Arabidopsis thaliana: one gene and its partner. The protein of the gene in region 2 interacts with the protein of the main gene of each other region in a pairwise test. Each region holds a gene or a part of one and is shown on either strand. Other genes may lie near its edges.

Region 1 (5,702 bases), on a different chromosome or scaffold from region 2:
GAGAGAGGGAGAGAATAACTTGGTGACAAGTTCAAGTAAGGATTCTTTGTTGTAGAAAACAAAATAAAGAAGGAAAGTGATAGCACGAAGCAAGTAATCTTTGTTGTAGATTCCTTGCACTAAAATTAAAATCAGTTTCTAATCTCATGAAAAAGTATAAAAACATTCTCTGTATCTTTTTCTCATTCAAAAGTTTTTTTAAGAAAATTGTAATTACTCGGTCCAATTTATCTAAAACCCAAATAAAAAGATCTCGATTTTAGGAGAGACAGGGTTAAGGACTTACAGTAACAGTCATGAATATGTCAATCTTTCTACTTCAGCTCACTCCAGGGGAAAGATGTTGATTCTCAGAGCAACTTACGAAAACTTGTCGAATATGTCAGTAAACTATGAACATGTTAAGATATGTCTCCCATAGATCAAGAAGGCCGCAGATTAGTTAGCGCAAATCTGATGCGAAACACGTTGCTTCTGCAGGTAGATACTCTGTTCTCTGCTCAATTTCTGCAGCATCAAACATGAAACCAACTCTGCAATGCCGGTTACTGCAAACGTTGACAAAGACAACTACCAATCGAGCCTGACCAAACAGATACTAGTAAAAAAGCTGGAAGCAAACTGAAAACTAAACCCATACAAAAGGTATTTTCCACGATCTTCGGTGCAATTGTTCTTCCTATATCTCTTATCCCCATTCTTTGGCATGGCATGGTATATAGTAACATGAATATACATAAAATGAAAGTGTAAACGCCTGGAAAGAGCTAACCTACGCTTTACACGCGAAGAAAGCAGAACAATCTCAGAGTAATCATGGCCGGAACAAGAAACACAATTCAAGCACAGAGACCCACAGAACACAGTCATACAGAGTGCAGGAGAAGCAACGCACTTGCCCTGAAACAACTTTCAATACATGTACTCCTAAGATCTGATGTTCTTTCTCAAGATCATTGAAAACTTACGAAAGAGAAGCCATAGAGTAAACAACTAATCAAATCCAAAATTCCAATTCCACATTGATTCAACTCATCAAAAGTTCAAAATGTAAAACTGTGTTATATCACACACAGATACTAGTACTGATCAACATAGCAGCACTCTTGCTTCACCTCAGCTCTCATAAACCTCTGCAAAGAATAACAATAAGAAATACGCAAGATCTTACTAAACTAAACAACACCATTAAAACCCTAAAAAATGTGAAGCTTTTGAGAAAAATCAGAAAACATTACCTGACTTTCTTGATGAGGATTGATTGGAGTTTTCGAGCAAAGTCAATGGATTTGATTCTGCGTTCAAGATTCTTCCTAGCGAGAACCTTCTTCTCCGAATTCTTAATGTGATGAGTCTGAGTCCCTTTGATCAGCCTCTCCATTCCACTCGATTGCATCTTCTTCTGCAAAATCGTCAGTGCCTTGTCTAAATCATTGGAGAACACCTTCACTCTTATCCCTCGCTCTTGCTGCAACTGCTGGTTTAGACTCGGACGAGTCACCAACCCCGTAACTCGCTTCGCTATCGTGTTCATCTCTTTTACTTGTTTTCTGAAAAAGTATGTTTCTGAAAACGTAAATGAGATTGACGAGAGACAGTGATAGGATCTGAATTCGACTTACCGGTCGGAATCTCGCCGGAGAGAATCAAAGAGCCAATTTGAGTGATGATGGAGAATGTCTAGGTTAAAAAAGAGGCGATGGAGGAAATGAGATAAAAACCAGAGAATTTACTAATATAGGGGTGGTTATGTAAGTTTTATGAGATATAGGGATGTTTTTGTAAATATCCTTAAATCTAATCTTCTGTTTGATTCAGAGAGTATTGACTTTAAAGAAGAACATTCAAGCCTTTCAAAAAAAAAAAGCTTCTTTAATTTCTCTCTCTCTCTGTGGAGTGTTCGAATCTCCAAGCTCTCTCTCAAATGGCAGCGTCCACATAGTAGAGCTGAAGAAGCACTGTATCTATCTACAGAGAAAGTGAAGAGGAAGAAAAGGAAGAGAGGATATAGAAATTAAGCTGGCGACTTTTAGTCCGAGGCGAGCAATGGCAGAGTTACGGCACTCGAGCTCTCTCGGTAGCCGATCTTCTTCTTCTCCGTTACGTGCCGCCGGAGATGAGGATTCTTCATCGCCTCATGTACACGATCACTCTCCTAACGGCGGAGACGACGAAGATGGTCGCCCACGTCATCCTTCTAGAGATCGAGACCGTCCGATCTGGTTTCACTCTTTGTTTCCTTTCTTCGGTGATGATCCTAGGGTTTCTCCTCAGAAGAATAAAATCTCGCTTCTATTGATTTTGATTCTCGCTATTGCTAGCTTGATCTCAGTTTATGGGATTATTAATCACTTGGTAAGTCTCTTCCTTCGATCTAGGAATTGAGATCTTCAAGGCTCTATGTTCTAACTGTGGAATCGATTTGGAAAAGTATTTAGCTTTGTTTTGAGTAAAGGGGTTTGTTTATTTAGGTGGATTTGGATTGACATTGTTCTCAGACTAAGATTGCTTCTATGTCTATCTTCTGCAGAATGCTCCTTATTTATGTAAAAAAGATGGGATTGTGCTAAACTGTCCTCATGTAAGTGTTTGAAAACTTTGGTTATGTGTTTTGTTGAATGCATAAGCTTTGAATCCTGTAAATTTAATTGTGTGTTGGTTTGCATTTGTAAGGTAAAAGAGTCACCTTCTCCTTGGGAGAATCCTTTATCTGCAACAACTTCTTGGAAGCCTTGTGCTGAGCGGCGGATTGGTGGAATCTCAGGTATTGAAGGGCTAGAGCATTGTCATTTTCATTGTCATGTGTTATTTTTTTTTTTTATTTTTTTTTTTTCGTCGAAACACATTGTCATGTGTTATTGATCTGTCTTTTCGTGAAAGTTCAAGTCTTTTTCCTTGGTTAGCTTATTAGATTGTGTCAACTGTTTTTTTCAGATCTTCCTCCTGAGAATGAAACAAATGGCTATGTATTCATTCATGCTGAAGGTGGTTTGAATCAGCAGCGAATTGCTGTATGTATCTTCCAACTTTTATCTCTTTTTCTTCTCGCCATTATCCAATCATGGATCAATGTCTAAATGGCTGTTGTTCTTCTTGCCATCGTCCAATCTTGAATTCATGCCCTTTTGTTTCCAGATCTGCAACGCAGTAGCTGTTGCCAAGATTATGAATGCAACACTGATTCTACCAGTACTGAAGCAGGACCAAATATGGAAAGACACAACGTAAAATCATATTCAGATATTGATTTCATTTCATCTTGAATTACTTCTCTATTTTCTTTTTGGTTTACTGAGCTTGTTAACTTTCTTTTGCAGAAAATTTGAAGACATTTTTGATGTAGATCATTTCATTGATTACTTGAAGGATGATGTCCGAATTGTTCGAGACATACCTGACTGGTTCACTGACAAAGCAGAGCTATTCTCTAGTATAAGGTTTGCTTGTCAACTCATTATTTGTTGATGATGTACTTGTTGGACGATTTCAAAAGTTAGCTTGTGGAATTATGGCGTCACTGGGTGCTCCTTGTGTATATCTCTGATTTAAAAATCGATCTGTATTTTTTAATCAGATATGATGTTGACCAAGTTATTTATTTATCTTCTGCAGAAGAACAGTCAAAAACATTCCCAAATATGCAGCAGCCCAATTTTATATTGACAATGTTTTACCTCGGATAAAGGAGAAGAAGATAATGGCCTTGAAGCCTTTTGTCGATCGACTTGGGTATAACCAATATTCCTATAGTTTAGTGCTCAGATTTTGGAAATCGTCTTATAAACAATGAATGATTTATTCTTGTGATGCTGGAAATTTTTTCAGGTATGACAATGTACCTCAAGAAATCAACAGATTACGATGCCGTGTAAATTATCATGCTCTCAAATTTCTTCCAGAGATAGAGCAGATGGCTGATTCACTTGTTTCTAGAATGAGAAATCGCACTGGAAATCCAAATCCATATATGTATGCCATATCAGAGATTCGACTTTGTTATAACTTAGGACCATATGCATTATATCAACTTAAAACTATACCCATGTCTCTTGTATAGGGCTCTTCATCTTAGATTCGAGAAAGGAATGGTTGGTCTATCGTTCTGTGATTTTGTGGGGACAAGGGAAGAGAAAGTTAAAATGGCAGAATACAGACAAAAGGAATGGCCTCGGCGTTTCAAGGTGACATTTATAAGCAGTTGTCAACTTCTTTTGGTGGCTAAACAACCTCAACCGCTACCTTAATGAAATTTCTTGACATATATTGCAGAATGGTTCCCATCTCTGGCAGCTCGCCTTGCAGAAGCGCAAAGAAGGTCGATGCCCTCTTGAGCCAGGAGAAGTTGCTGTGATCCTACGTGCAATGGGCTATCCAAAAGAAACACAAATCTATGTTGCATCTGGTCAAGTCTATGGCGGTCAAAACCGTATGGCTCCACTAAGAAACATGTTCCCAAATTTGGTAAGCACAACACCGGACTCTTATAATTCTTTGATGAATCAGCACAAACTTGTCTCTCACATTAACTGTCCTTTGAATCAGGTAACAAAGGAGGATTTAGCAGGCAAAGAGGAACTAACAACGTTTAGAAAACACGTTACAAGTCTTGCGGCTCTAGATTTCTTGGTGTGCTTGAAATCAGATGTATTTGTGATGACACACGGTGGAAACTTTGCAAAACTGATCATCGGAGCGCGTAGATATATGGGGCATCGCCAGAAATCAATCAAACCGGATAAAGGGTTGATGTCGAAATCATTTGGGGATCCTTACATGGGATGGGCAACTTTTGTGGAAGATGTAGTTGTAACCCATCAAACACGAACCGGTTTACCTGAAGAAACTTTCCCTAACTATGATCTTTGGGAAAATCCTCTCACTCCATGCATGTGTAAAGCTTGATGATGATGCTTTTGTTTGGTCTTGGATTTTGTCTGATGAGGAGCAACAAACTATAGAGATTCGTAGTTTTCTTCTTCTTCTTCTTCTTTTTTGACCTTTCAAATCTTTGAAGTCTTCATTTACCATCTTTGTAATCATTTTGATATTATGTAAAGTTCCTAGTGATGAAAAAAAAGTTTCTTTTTTATATTAAATTTGATCAAATTGATGCACTAAACTTTAATTAAAAGAAAATTAGCTCAACGGTTACTAATCCAATTCTTAATTTTTTGTCACGCTCTCTAATAGTACCCGCCATTAACACAACCATTGCGTGTTGTCTTCTCTCTTACTCTCAGGTTCTCAACAACAAAAGAGGAAAACAAAATCAGAAGCTATCGTAATCAGTTCTCATCTCTATGACCGGACTATCCGTAGAGAAAACCGGGTCGACCCGGTCCACTGTCTTCTTCATCATCTTTAATCTATCCATTTTTAGGTACTCCGCTTCACTGGGTTTTTGAATTTGATTTTGGTTTTTGAGTGGGTGGTGTTTGAGTGATCGATCAATCACAAAAGTTTCGTCTTTTTCAGTTTATCGATTGAAGCAAGGTCGAGGCAACAACATGCTAGCTTTCCTCCAAGAGGATGGAATTCGTACGATTCCTTTTGTTGGACTATCTCTGAAGCTGAGTTCTTGCAGAGTGCTGAAATTGTTTCTAAGCGTCTTCTTCCTCATGGTTATCAGGTAATTGTGAGTTTCTTTATCCTTTAGAATGTAAAAGTTTAGGTTTTTAATTGCTTGTGTTTGTGTGTGTTGA
Region 2 (4,146 bases):
AGTTTTTCCATTTCGGTTCGGATTGGTAATAATGGGCTCAGCAAAAATAAAACATCTTGGGCCCTTATGGACCCTCTTACCCTATTTTACCATAGGCTCTACTTTTTTTTACCACCTTTGTTTTAGTTTCACTTAAAATTTTAGTTAAGGAAAAAAAAGTTACCGATTATGTACACTCTACTGTTATTTATTAGACACAACAAAACTTTCAAATATGATGGATTTTCCATCCTATTTTATTTATAAAAGAAAATATTTATATTTCTAACATCAACAAACTCTACCCAAATCAGATTATCCTTCTGAAACTATGCAATTTGTATTGTTTTTCAGGAAACTAGTGATTTTTTGAATAATTGTAATACTTTTCATTCATCAAAAAAACATATTATATCTTTCCTTTTTTTCCATCAAAAACATATTATATCTAAATATCTCATTTTGGGTTGTTTTTTGATAATTAACACTTAAGCCCATATAAAAGAGTCTAGTTCAAACTGAGCCCAGCTACACCAAAGAATCTAGTGGGGGACATGTGGCAGGTAGTAATTTGAGCGTTGACCAAGAAAGGACATTATTATACATCCACCTGGTTAGAGCATGCTTATAGGTGATATTCTCAAAGTATCATTAAAAAAATTTTAGTATTATTTATAATGTTTGTTTAATAGATAAATATTTTTTTTCTTACTTTTAATAAATGCTACCAATCAGGAGATGTCACGTAGATGATACTGATATCAAGAAAATCACTGGAATGATACTAATCAAACTCATTCTAATTGTTTGGTTAATAAAAAAATAATTTTTACACTGATGATATTCTAAAAATATCACTCATGTACATGGTCTTAACCGTTGAAATGTTGGTCGCGGCCTATATATAGAAGAACATAACTCTAAAAATAGCTAAACCCAACCACTTCCCTTGGATTGGAATCTCTCATAAACAGTTTGTTGGTCTGGTCCGCTCCAGTCCATACTCATAAGGTGGTAGATGTTTACTTAGGGTACATCATACATGCACAACGTTAGTAGTTGCAGGCATAGACGTGTTTGCCCTTTATTACGCGAAAACCACTACTCCCTTCGCTAGTCTACTTTCGTCAATTGAACCACTAAACCCAATGAAACCTAATATTTTAGTGTGCTCAATAATTTATCATCATCCCAATTCCCAAGCGTACCAAGATTATAATCTAACTTAACGCGCAATGTCATGACAAAACCTATATACAATGAAAAAGATTTTTCATGACAAACAAAGAAAAAATAAACACGAGAAATGAGTTCTCGTAATAAAGTTGGTGTGAACTGGTTTTTGAACGTGAAGATGACCCCTTCATATTTTTATTTCTTGGTTTTTGCTTGAGAGGGTTAAAGACTCTTAAGGAAGAAATACATTACACGTCAAACCTTTTTGGGAAAACAATGAACGCTTCATTTATAATGTTTCTATTTTTTACTCTTAGGTAAAACATTGCAATTGATAGATGAACAAGAACAAAAGCAGAGGATTAAAAGAAAGATTAAACTATGAAAAAAGGACACGTGTGAAGAGAATTAGAGATTCTGTATTAAGACAGATTAACTAACAAACCAAACCCTACTTGTTCCACTTTCTATTCATACTTAATCTCATTCTCCTCTCTTCCCCTTCATACTTAAATCTTATCATTCATCCATCTTTTAATCATTACTCGAGATTCTGTTTCCATGGCCATATCCTCAAATCTTCTCCTTTGTCTCTCTCTTTTCATTTTCATCATCACCAAATCCGCCTTGGCTCAGAAATGTTCCAACTACAAATTCTCCACCAACCGTCTCTTTGAGTCTTGCAACGACCTACCTGTTCTTGATTCCTTCCTCCACTACACTTACGATTCTTCTTCAGGCAATCTCCAAATCGCGTATCGCCACACAAAGCTCACCCCCGGGAAATGGGTGGCATGGGCCGTGAATCCCACATCTACTGGCATGGTCGGAGCTCAAGCCATTGTGGCTTATCCACAATCAGACGGCACCGTTAGGGCTTATACGTCACCCATCAGTAGCTACCAAACGAGTCTCCTAGAAGCTGAGCTGAGTTTCAACGTCTCTCAGTTGTCTGCCACTTACCAAAACAACGAGATGGTCATCTACGCAATTCTGAATCTTCCACTTGCGAATGGTGGAATCATTAACACTGTGTGGCAAGATGGGTCACTGTCAGGGAACAATCCTCTGCCTCATCCAACTTCTGGCAACAATGTTCGTTCTGTTTCTACTCTTAACCTTGTCTCTGGTGCATCTGGATCCACCTCTACCGGAGCAGGAGGAGCTTCCAAGCTACGCAAACGCAACGTGAGTCCATGGTTTTATCAATTTCTTCATTTCATGTTTTTTAGGAATCTCACATATGAAATGAGATTTATCAATCCCATCATTGTTAGTTGGTTTTATGAAACTTATCACTCCTAATCATTATTGCAGATACATGGAATATTGAACGGTGTGAGCTGGGGTATAATGATGCCAATAGGAGCAATCATTGCTCGCTACTTGAAAGTCTCAAAATCAGCAGATCCTGCTTGGTTCTACCTTCATGTTTTCTGCCAGTCTTCTGCTTACATCATTGGTGTTGCCGGTTGGGCGACCGGTCTCAAACTGGGCAACGAATCAGCCGGGATTCAGTTTACCTTTCACCGTGCTGTTGGGATCGCTCTCTTCTGCCTCGCAACAATTCAGGTAGGTTTTAGTTAACAGTACAGAGAGTATTACACTTGTCATGAATATGTTGCAATTACTAAGTTGCTTGTTTCACACGTTAGGTGTTTGCAATGTTTTTGAGACCCAAACCAGAGCACAAGTACAGAGTCTACTGGAACATTTATCACCACACTGTAGGCTATTCAGTGATCATTCTTGCGGTGGTAAACGTTTTTAAAGGACTAGACATCCTGAGCCCTGAGAAGCAGTGGAGAAACGCTTACACCGCCATAATCGTAGTACTAGGTATAGTCGCGGTTGTGCTCGAAGGGTTTACTTGGTATGTAGTCATAAAGAGAGGGAAAGCAGAGGCATCTGCGAAAACAAGTCAACGAGTAGGCAACGATGGTCGGTCTCTATACGTGTAGACTCTGTAAAGATTAGAGTAAAATGTTCTGGTTTATTTGGTCATTATGGGCTTGTGGTTGTTAATTTTTGTTTGTTTTCGAGATTAAGTTAATACATTTGATGTTTAATAGTTGTTGAAGTTGAAAGACTCTTGTGCTCTTTTACAACATTCATGATGTGAGCTTTTGACAAACCATTTTATTTCATCGACAGTGAAGTAGTGTACATATGAATACATATATCGAATAGATATCTCGTATGTGTATGTGTGTGTGTGTGTGTGTGTGTGTGTGTGTGTGTGGTGAGAAAGTGAGAGGAAGATTGGTTACCTAATGTAAAAAAACAACAAGATGCTTCAAAAATGTCTTTTCGAGTGTTTTAAAAGGGAAGGAAGGATGAATTGCATTAGTTGGTTCAAGCAAGATCTCGAGGTTCAAGGGCTGCGATTTCTCTCAAAACCTGACTTTTGTCTGCTTCAAACCTCTCATCCTCTGTCAACCAAATGAACCAAACAATGCTTTAATAAGGTTAAGGAGCAGAAGGATCGGATACAAGCGTTTCACTTAACAAGATTAGTTTCATACCTTTGTCTGGTTTCAAATCAGCCAACAATCTCAGAAGCTTGCTTCTGTTGGCCACCAGAATGTTGACTATATCCGCAGGCTTGTTTTGGTTCGCTGCAAACAGCTGCACAACAGTGACGATAATCTCAGTACAATCACGTTGGACTGACAAGTGACAATCATCATTATGTTACATCTCGTTAATGTAGGTACCTTAAAGACATGGAATGCTTCTATTTGGATACTCTTGCTTGACTCCTGTAATTCAAGCGATTGAGTTTATTTCCCAAACTATTATAATCAAGAACAAAAAAACGGAGAGTAAAGCATCGTACTCTTAGAAGATTCATGAGAATCCTCAAGTTATCCCTCGAGCTCACATATTTCGTCATCACAGCTGAATTTGATCGATCCAATAATATATCACCCAACAACTGTTTAACATTTACACCATACAGTACATAAGATTGATCAGCCAGTACCATCA

What was found. The genes of interacting proteins can lie anywhere in the genome.
Region 1: the proteins of AT5G47530 (region 2) and AT3G26370 interact in a protein complementation assay, tested with the Arabidopsis thaliana proteins (one large-scale study listed by BioGRID).

Annotation. Positions count from the first base shown.
Region 1 is NC_003074.8:9,654,840-9,660,541, forward strand, and holds AT3G26370 (O-fucosyltransferase family protein), read left to right. Parts: upstream 1-1,840; 5' UTR 1,841-2,046; coding exon 2,047-2,355; intron 2,356-2,530; coding exon 2,531-2,581; intron 2,582-2,673; coding exon 2,674-2,764; intron 2,765-2,934; coding exon 2,935-3,011; intron 3,012-3,135; coding exon 3,136-3,224; intron 3,225-3,317; coding exon 3,318-3,437; intron 3,438-3,612; coding exon 3,613-3,729; intron 3,730-3,825; coding exon 3,826-3,969; intron 3,970-4,057; coding exon 4,058-4,181; coding exon of another isoform or gene 4,182-4,244; exon of another isoform or gene 4,245-4,269; coding exon 4,270-4,461; intron 4,462-4,542; coding exon 4,543-4,902; 3' UTR 4,903-5,106; downstream 5,107-5,702. Other genes in the region: AT3G26360 (Ribosomal protein S21 family protein), read right to left, coding at 1,124-1,133, 1,239-1,534; AT3G26380 (Melibiase family protein), read left to right, coding at 5,301-5,380, 5,476-5,629. UniProt on the Arabidopsis thaliana protein: Glycosyltransferase involved in the biosynthesis of pectic type-II arabinogalactans.
Region 2 is NC_003076.8:19,279,755-19,283,900, forward strand, and holds AT5G47530 (Auxin-responsive family protein), read left to right. Parts: upstream 1-1,619; 5' UTR 1,620-1,716; coding exon 1,717-2,343; intron 2,344-2,472; coding exon 2,473-2,727; intron 2,728-2,810; coding exon 2,811-3,116; 3' UTR 3,117-3,307; downstream 3,308-4,146. Other genes in the region: AT5G47540 (Mo25 family protein), read right to left, coding at 3,511-3,587, 3,681-3,783, 3,873-3,917, 3,995-4,093. UniProt on the Arabidopsis thaliana protein: May act as a catecholamine-responsive trans-membrane electron transporter.